Linked DNA regions of Nothobranchius furzeri. The protein of the gene in region 1 binds, or shares a complex with, the protein of each later gene. Links are inferred from orthologs where the notes say so. Each region holds a gene or a part of one and is shown on either strand. Other genes may lie near its edges. The genes, in order: sike1 and slmapa.

The links.
Region 2: the proteins of sike1 (region 1) and slmapa are in contact, whole or in part, in a crystal structure (PDB 6AKM), measured with the Homo sapiens proteins. The link is inferred for Nothobranchius furzeri from reciprocal best matches to the Homo sapiens genes SIKE1 and SLMAP. Residues at the interface, in NP_079349.2 of Homo sapiens: Ile5, Ile8, Leu9, Ala12, Lys13, Leu16, Leu19, Arg20, His22, Asp23, Ala26, Glu27, Leu29, Val30, Ser33, Ala34, Leu36, His37, Val40, Met43, Arg44; in NP_001291349.1 of Homo sapiens: Leu168, Tyr171, Leu172, Glu174, Ala175, Arg178, Glu179, Met181, Leu182, Lys185, Thr188, Leu189, Leu192, Leu193, Ile195, Thr196, Ala199, Ser200, Thr202, Ser203.

Annotation. Positions count from the first base shown.
Region 1 is NC_091755.1:53,138,204-53,142,806, forward strand, and holds sike1 (suppressor of IKBKE 1), read left to right. Parts: upstream 1-1,538; 5' UTR 1,539-1,683; coding exon 1,684-1,842; intron 1,843-2,140; coding exon 2,141-2,246; intron 2,247-2,328; coding exon 2,329-2,471; intron 2,472-2,566; coding exon 2,567-2,680; intron 2,681-3,077; coding exon 3,078-3,200; 3' UTR 3,201-4,031; downstream 4,032-4,603. Other genes in the region: micos10 (MICOS complex subunit MIC10), read left to right, coding at 4,399-4,462.
Region 2 is NC_091743.1:68,927,133-68,930,949, forward strand, and holds part of slmapa (sarcolemma associated protein a), read left to right. Parts: intron 1-496; coding exon 497-634; intron 635-874; coding exon 875-1,043; intron 1,044-1,508; coding exon 1,509-1,559; intron 1,560-2,586; coding exon 2,587-2,694; intron 2,695-3,817. UniProt on the Homo sapiens protein: Associates with the striatin-interacting phosphatase and kinase (STRIPAK) core complex, forming the extended (SIKE1:SLMAP)STRIPAK complex.

The DNA.
Region 1 (4,603 bases):
GCCAAGCATGTGACTTCCTGACAATCCGCTATTCTCAGCTGGAAGAGTCAAAGTGACCCGAGCAATTGTGCTGAACACCACGATAAAAAGCGTTTCAATTTTAATTAAAAACTCGTCACAAACCCAGAAATTAAAATACACATCCATGAGTAAAAAACAAGCATAATGGTGAATAAAACCTGACTAAAATAAAATTATAAACGCCTCAGACTTCTAAAGAAACGTTGCTCAGGCTACAATGCCACGTATTCTTCATTTGATTTTAATAAATGGTATATTGATACTTTCGAAAAAATATAAACAAAGATGCTTTCTTTCAAGAGAAGTACGTCGTATAAATTGTTTTTTGTAATTATTTGGAAAACTTAAGAATAAACGTAAAGGTCCAGTTTAAGGTGTATCGTTAAGAAGTAGGTTGGCACATTTGCGACATCATCCAGCTGAAACAAATGCAAAAACCAAAATGGGAATTAGATCAAAACCAATTTTAAATCCGAAATTTGTCAGACGGCTAATCAAGTCCGATACAACACACATGCGCTAAAACGTGTTTGATTTCCTAACAGATCGAGGGTAAACGAAGAAAACACCGCGGCTAACGGCACGAGGATGATGGAAAACAAAGAAACTACCTACAAAGCTCGCGTCTACAAAAGTTGTGCACCAACTAGAAACGTCTTAAGTGTTAGAATGGCCAAAGTAGCATGTCTTCGGTACTTTAGACACGTCAAAGAAACGCCAGCTTGCTATTTAACCGTCGCTCGGTCGTTTGGAACGTTAGCTCGTTAGCCAGAGCACGCTGCTGTGGCCCGAGAAAAAACAAGGCATCCCCACCCAGGCCCGACTTCTGCTGTACACCGCCCGTTCGCTTTGGTGACCCCGCCTGAATTATAAAAAAATTAAATGCGAAATAAGACATTTAAATATATCTCAACGGTTTACCAAGCAGAGAAAAATAATATAAAACTCACCCCAACAGCTTTTAGCACTGTCACCAGCGCCGCTAGAAGCAGCACGGCACATTACGTAGTGATTAGGGAGACAGCTCCCGCGATATTTGACGAAGGCTAGGGAAGCCTCTGCAGCTGGCTCTGTTGTCACGCATGGGTTCATGGGAAATGATGTTCAGTTGTTTTGAAGTAAATAATCGGGCTCAACCTGGGCTCAACCGAGGTTTAAAAGGCATTAAATGCTTAATATGCAGTAAAGTATGCTATTAAATGTTAAAACGGCTTTTCCCACAGGTCTGCGCACCAGACACTCATGAAGATAGTTGGATAATGAAATTATTCAGAAAATGTCTATGCACACGGTTTCCTTGCCGAGAATGAGAAAACCAAAGGATTCGTAAACATTTTTACGTCTACGATGATACGTTTGACGGCAAGATACTTGTTTACGGTACAATCCCGGAAGTGACGCTATATTTTTTCCTCTCGAATACGAAGTTGCCAACAAAAAGAGGGATTTCTTTTGTTATACATTGTCCTGGTTTAATTAGTCATCTGTCTCTTGAGAAATGATCTAGGAGGGTCCGCTGAGATATGAATATTTGTTTGTAAAACATTTTTGTGCGTTTGAACAGCATAGCCAGCGTAAGCTACAGTACGGGCAAATTTTCGCCTGATCAAACTGGTATTTGGAAGCTTTAGTTTACAAATACGACTAGTCACTTAATAGCTAATGGCCTGTACTTTTGAAAAAGTGTTGGGGGATGCTAGGACCCTCCTGGAAAGGCTGAAAGAGCACGATACGGCTGCTGAGGGACTGATCGAGCAATCCGGGGCCCTCAGCCAGAGAGTGCAGGGCATGAGGGAGGTGGGCAATGCTCTTCCAGACAAGGTAAGATGGTCTCTCACACATAAACGTTGGGTGAAAGTATATTTATATTAGAAGGCTGACTTAAGCCATGCATTAAGGATTTGGGGTTGCAGGTAAGCTTAAAATGACACTCTTCTCTAACTCTACTCAAGTACTTAGACATTTTGAGATAGAAGGTCTGATCGTCCAAAAAAGTACACCAGCCTTTAAAAGCATATTTAAATAATGGGAATTATTTATCAAGAGGTGGAACAGTCATCCAACTAGTGCTTAAAATGTATTTTTTACTTATGACATTTTCCTTGTTGCTGCCTTTTAGCACACAGAAGACAGCTCAGAGATTCGGGAACTCACAAAATACAAGCCTCACATCCTTCTGACTCAAGAAAACACTCAAATCAAGGAATTGCAGCAAGAGAATAAAGGTAAAATCCTTACAATGTTTTTAGGTATTTTTAGAGTTCATGTGTTTGTCTGTAATTTTTGTCTTCGCCACTGTTTCCGCAGAACTATGGCTGTCCCTTGAAGAGCACCAGTACACACTAGAACTGATCATGGGTCGATATCGCAAGCAGATGCTCCAGCTGATGATGGCAAAAAAGGAGCTGGACACGAAACCAGTGCTCAGACTACACCAAGACTACGTCAAAGTACACCAACTTTCATTGTGCTGTGAACATTCCCAGTCATGTAATTTTCTGACAGAAAAAGGGGTTTGAAGTTATGCTTTCTGAATCTTATCCAGGAAGTGCAAAGCCAGGTGGAACGGATATGTGAGATGGGCCAAGTGATGAGGAGAGCCATGCAGGTGGACGATCAGCACTTCTGCTCTGTTCAAGAGAGGCTTGCTCAACTGGAGGTAAGGACTGGAATGGCAGTCGTGATGTCAGGAGTTATCATTAAGCTTTTAAAAGGCAAAATCAGTGACTCTAAGGCTTTGAAACAGCTCAGGAAATTAGCATGAGTCTACAAACACACACAAGGCTTAGTGCTGCTAGCATAAAAACTGTTGGAGTTTCTCAGGTTTTCTTGTTTGCTAGTTTCCTGGAGCGTATGGTGCAGCATTAGATTATGAATGAAAATATCTGGACACACCTGAGATCAACTTAGAAACTCTTTGAGATGACTTTCTTGACTCATTCTGGTTAAAATGTTGATTCAATAAACCAAACTCGCATAGATACAACCATCTTGCATGGACTGGTGATAACGAGTAATCTACACGAGGTTACGTTTGGTTATCCGGGCTCTTTCAGATTGAGAACAAGGAGCTTCGGGACCTTCTGGCCATCAGCCAGGCATCTGTGAAGATGGGAAATGAAGAGAGCCACCAGCCATCAACACCAGCAGCAGCAGTGCCCTCAGGCAGTGACCAATGAGTGACCCGAGCAGCTGCAGTCTGAACTGATCAGGTGGAACAACCAACCAAACAGGAAGAGCTTTTTCTTTTTTAAGCACAACCTAGATTGCAGAATAATGTTTGTAAAAGTAATTTAAATTCAACATTAAAGCCATCAGAAGCATTTAACTACCAGTGGGTATATCATTATGATAGATATCTTTATGTACAGTAGTTGTGTTTTCACTGCAGCAATGTTGGGAGTGAATTCCTCATAAACGAACGGAGTTTGACTGAGGTGCTTTGGGTATCACTGGTTTATTTTATATTTATCTAAATGCTGAAGTGAAGCTGAGGGAGATTTATTTTTGTTTAGAATGGAGAAAGGATGAGTTTAATCTTTTAAGAACATAAAAAAGTAAAATGCCCAAAAAGTAAAATGCCTCTGTTTTAAACGCTAACTTGTACACCACGTGTGATGTTGTGTTCATCGCCAAGAAAATGACTATTGGCTGTTTCACAAAACAAAATGCCTGCGCTGGAATGACAGTGGGCAGTTTTTTAAAGAGATTGTAAATTTATAAATGTACATTTTGTCTGCCATAGTTGATTGTTATGCTTACAACATGATAAATACCAGTTTTTACTCTGAATTTTTAGATTGGATTGCAGAGTAAATGTGTAATAGTTGACTGCACATCTTTCTCACGGTAACATTTTGTAAGCATTACTTTTTTGAGTGTTATGTACTTGTGCACTGTTATTTTGTCATGAACTGTAAATGTCATCTCAGGAAATTACTGTTGGTTAAGTGAACATGTTTATGGAAGTGTAATTATTTGTGTAAAATAAAACTCGTTCTGAAAACTAAGTCATATTACCTTATGGTGAAGTTTTTGTTGATAAAACACAAAAACCTTATTTTTTAATTCAGGGTTTCACCGCTAGGTGGTGATTTTAAGCTCTTCTGATTGTGACAATGAGACGTTTGGAAAAACATCGCTCCAATAACATTTAAGTGGGAAAAAGCACCAAAAAACGTTAATTTATTTCAAGGCTTCAAAGTATTTTTATCATTGTCGATTATTTGATAAGATTTCATAAATGACGTGGTGAAATAATGGGAACTGCACCGCAATTTTCTTGTTATTCTAAATTTGATTTTCACAACTTGAATATTTTCCGGGTGACCTAAACGCAGCACCAGAGTCACATACCTGGAGCGAAGCTAAGTCAGGATGTCTGAGAAGGAGCTCGGTAAAAAGTGGGACCGGTGCCTCGCAGACGGTGTCATTAAACTTGGTAAATGTTTCCAAGTGTTCGTGTGATACTGTTACTTTAGTGTCCTGGAAAAGGGACAAAGAAAGCTGTTTTACTGTTTCACGCAGCTGTCATTGACTGCCTGGAAGGTTGGCTAACTAGCCAGCTAGCATGCTAGCAAAG
Region 2 (3,817 bases), on another chromosome or scaffold:
CGTAGTCATGATTCTGTCAGCTCTGATAGCACAACTGATAAACACACCAACATGTGCAGCATTCATATTCGCACGCATGAACAGAGCTAGTCACGTGTGACATCACATCTTGTGTACCTGGGGTCTCTTCAGTGCTGTAGACTGATAACACGAGTCTAATTGCTGTTTTGTTTTAGTTACAATGGGAACAAACAGATAAATGCATTTCAGCATAAAATCAGACTTGAGTTCTAAGACCGGCAGTTTGAACATAACCTTTAACCTCATCTAGCCTCTGCAGACTGCTTTACAACCTAGTTTAATGCCCATATTTGCACTCATGTAGAGGTGCAGCACTTTTCATTCCCCACAAAGACAATTTGAGCTAATTAGAGGCAGCGTGATGTCTCTGTCTCACCCACTGATGCTGTGGAGGATTCATAGGTTGAACCACATGGTTGTGTCACTGAACCACAGCTGCTGTTTGTTCATAAAAAAAAATTGTTACGTTCTGCAGCGCGCTCTCAGTAACACCGAGGATGAGTGTACCCACCTGAAGGAGATGTCAGAGAGGGGCCAGGAGGAGCTGAGGGAGCTGGCTAACAAATACAACGCTGCTGTCAACGAGATCAAAGAGCTCACTGACAAAATTAAGGTACCTAAACAAACAGGTCAGGATTAACGAGAATTAAGTCAGCATAGAAACGTCTTTTGAAAGCTTTGTTTGTGTGTTTAAAACTAAAATGTATTATTTTATTTCTTACCTCATGTTTTCTTTCTTTTATCTTTCAAAACAACTCTTTTCTTTTTTATTTCATCTGCTTGTTTTATTTCTGGTTTGCTTCACACTCGTCTCCCCTTCCTGATTTTTGCTGCTCCTTTTCTTCTCCTCCAGGCAGCCGAGGGCAGGCAGGAGGAGCTGACTCAGCAGGGGGCAACAGAGAAAAGGGAGATGGAGATGCGAATTGAAGAGATGGAGGAGAAGGAGCAGGTTCTCCAGGCTCGTATTGAGGCTCTGCAGGCTGACAACGACTTTACAAACGAGAGACTCGCGGCCCTCCAAGGTACAAATTAGTTCATCAGACAGTTACCCTGACAGATTTACTTTGTCCTTACTTCTAACCTCTTTAATCCAACCTTTAATCATATATTTTATCATAATTTCCATAATTAACCTCAAAGTGAATCATGTCCTCCATGTTGATGTTTCCAAACCCTGGTCCTCAGGGCACACTGACCTACATGTTTCCCGTGCTTCCGCACACCTTATTGCCTCCTCAGGAGGACATCAAGTGCTGCAGATGCCTGTTAATCCCTCATTCATTTAAGTCAGGTGTCTGGCAGCAGGGAAACACTGATGTTTAAAAAGGACAACATGGAAAACATGCAGGACAGTGTGCCTTGAGGACCAGTTAGGAAACACTGTGCTATGTGACACTATGAAGACAAATACTTGTAGATCAGAAGCTGGATCAGCAGTGTCTCATCAGATCTACTTCTGTAAGTTACTACTTTGCTGTTGTTTACAGTGCGGTTAGAACAGCTACAAGAGAAAAGCATTAAAGAGAACAACAGTCTTGGTGAGTCCACGTGTCTCCAGTCTGCTGTGAGACAAAGGTTGTGTGTCTGTGGCCGTTCACTTCACACGTTCATCCTGCACTAACGATGCATGCCACCCTGCTGCATGATATTCCTTTTCCTGTTGCTCACCGTTCTTGCAGCTCTTCTTTGTTCATTTGTTTCCTACGGTGGGATTCTGGTCGTTCATCTTCTGTTTTCATCTTGGAGGTGGTGGGATGTTCACACTCAGCCTGTCTTCCAGGAATAGGACAAGAAATGATTCATAAAGAGATTACAGATAAATCCACAAACACCTGAAAGTGTGTTGACTCCGTTTTACAGGCTTGGAGAGACACAAACTCCCCCCATTTTATGTTTTTAATTAAAGATCTAAAGAACTGTTTTTTGTTTTAGAGTAATGTTTCCTCTTCACATTAGAATATTTTATTATATCAGGCTTCAGAACAATTAAATATAGAAACTAGACATTAAATAAAAACCAGTCAAAAACACAAAGCTTTGTAAGAGGCCAGAGTCATCGTCCACATGAATGTTTATTAGAAAAAAAGACAAATTGTTCTTTTTCTCCCACTAAGTGGGTTTAAAACGTAGCTGTGAGTGTGACCATGTCGCTAAAATCAATCTAACTGGATTTTCGAAGTCTCTGGGAATGTTTTGCGTTTCTAAAACAACACAGTCATTTATTTTAGCCACTGGGTGTGTTTCAGTCTGAGAAGGGTTGTCCGTGGGGACGTGTTGTCCACTCTTAATGGGCTTGTTTGATAGTCTGGGTTGTTTCCACAGTTTTCAAACTGTCCACTGCTTTTGTTTATTCTTCTTGGGGAAATTAAAGAAGCTTTTGGTCACTGATTGACTCCTGGTGATTGAATGTCGACGCCATCCTTTTAGGTGACTGTTCACTGCTCACTTTGCCACAGCAGCCACATTTCTCAGGAGCCCTCCATCATTTAGACTTTGTGCTGTGCATGTGTGTAGCTGGTAGAGCCTCCGACAAAATGGTGTGTGTCTGATCTGGTCACATGACAGATGTCGACACGGTCTCCCGTGGACCCGTAGAGGAACCTGTCGAAGACAAACTGAACCTGGAGACGGCTGAGAGCCAAGACGAAGATGAGCGGGATTCAGATACTGATGGTAGTTAGTTTAATTGTCATAACAGAATAAAATATCAAGCACGTTTTTGTCTTCAGAATGAAAGACAATAAGCCCTTTATGCTTTCAAATAAAGAAGGAATCAATGTTATATTTGAGTTCTTTCTAGGGATTGTTTGTTAATTTGATTTATGTTAAAAACAAATGTAGAAAACTAGATAAGAGTTCATGTTAATCACCAGTGATGTATTTGATTCAAAAACAAACATGTTTAAAAGGTGGAACAAAGTTTGGTTCCAGAGGAATTTAGTAGAAATGTAAATATAAGAAACGGGTTTGCTTATTAGGCTGCCTGTTTGAGTTCTCTGTCCAGAAGAAACGTGATTAATAATAATAATCCCTTCATGCTTTTCTTTGTTTCAGTTGTGAAGCAAATAATGTTTGGGTGTTGAGAATTAGTTTCAGTGTTCACGCTCACAAAAGACATCTCAATGTAAAACGGTTGGCTAGTCTGCAGTTGTTTGTTGTTCTGGCAGGAGTTCTGGTACCAGAACCACCGTGTTTTACTCTCGGAAACAAGTTGTTGCTTTTTTATCTTTGATTTCTTCCCCATCTGTCTGGCCAGCGCCTGTCTGTCCATCTAGTTTTTGTCTGTCTATAATTCGTCAGCACTGCCATGCTTTAATTGCTTTTATCTGTCTCATTGTCCTCACTGTGGCATTACTCATAAAACATTACTGTTTGGGATTTATGCTTCAATCTTTCTATTATGATTCTGCTTCTTCAGTCCAGGAAATTACAATGTTGAGAGCTTCACTAGGGGTGTAACGGCACGCCTGTAAACCCTTCTTTCCACCGGAGCCGTCAGCAGCGCGAGTCGGCCGCGTCTCAGGAGCAGCATGTCACGGCCCTTACGCGCTGGTTCTATTTTCTACGCGCGACACCTCTGAAACGGGTCAAGTTCGACATTTTTGGGGAAGGAAAGACAGGAAATCGGATGCGGAAACGGAGCGAAGCTCCCGAGATTTTCAGAATAAAGAAACGTACTGCCTTCCGGTTACTTTACTTTAAAAAAAAGTGACTAGCTGTGCGGCCCCGTGAGAAGTTATCACCTAGCTAGCGGTCTCCTTTGTGTTTCAGGTCCGTTTTGGCGATTATAAAACGG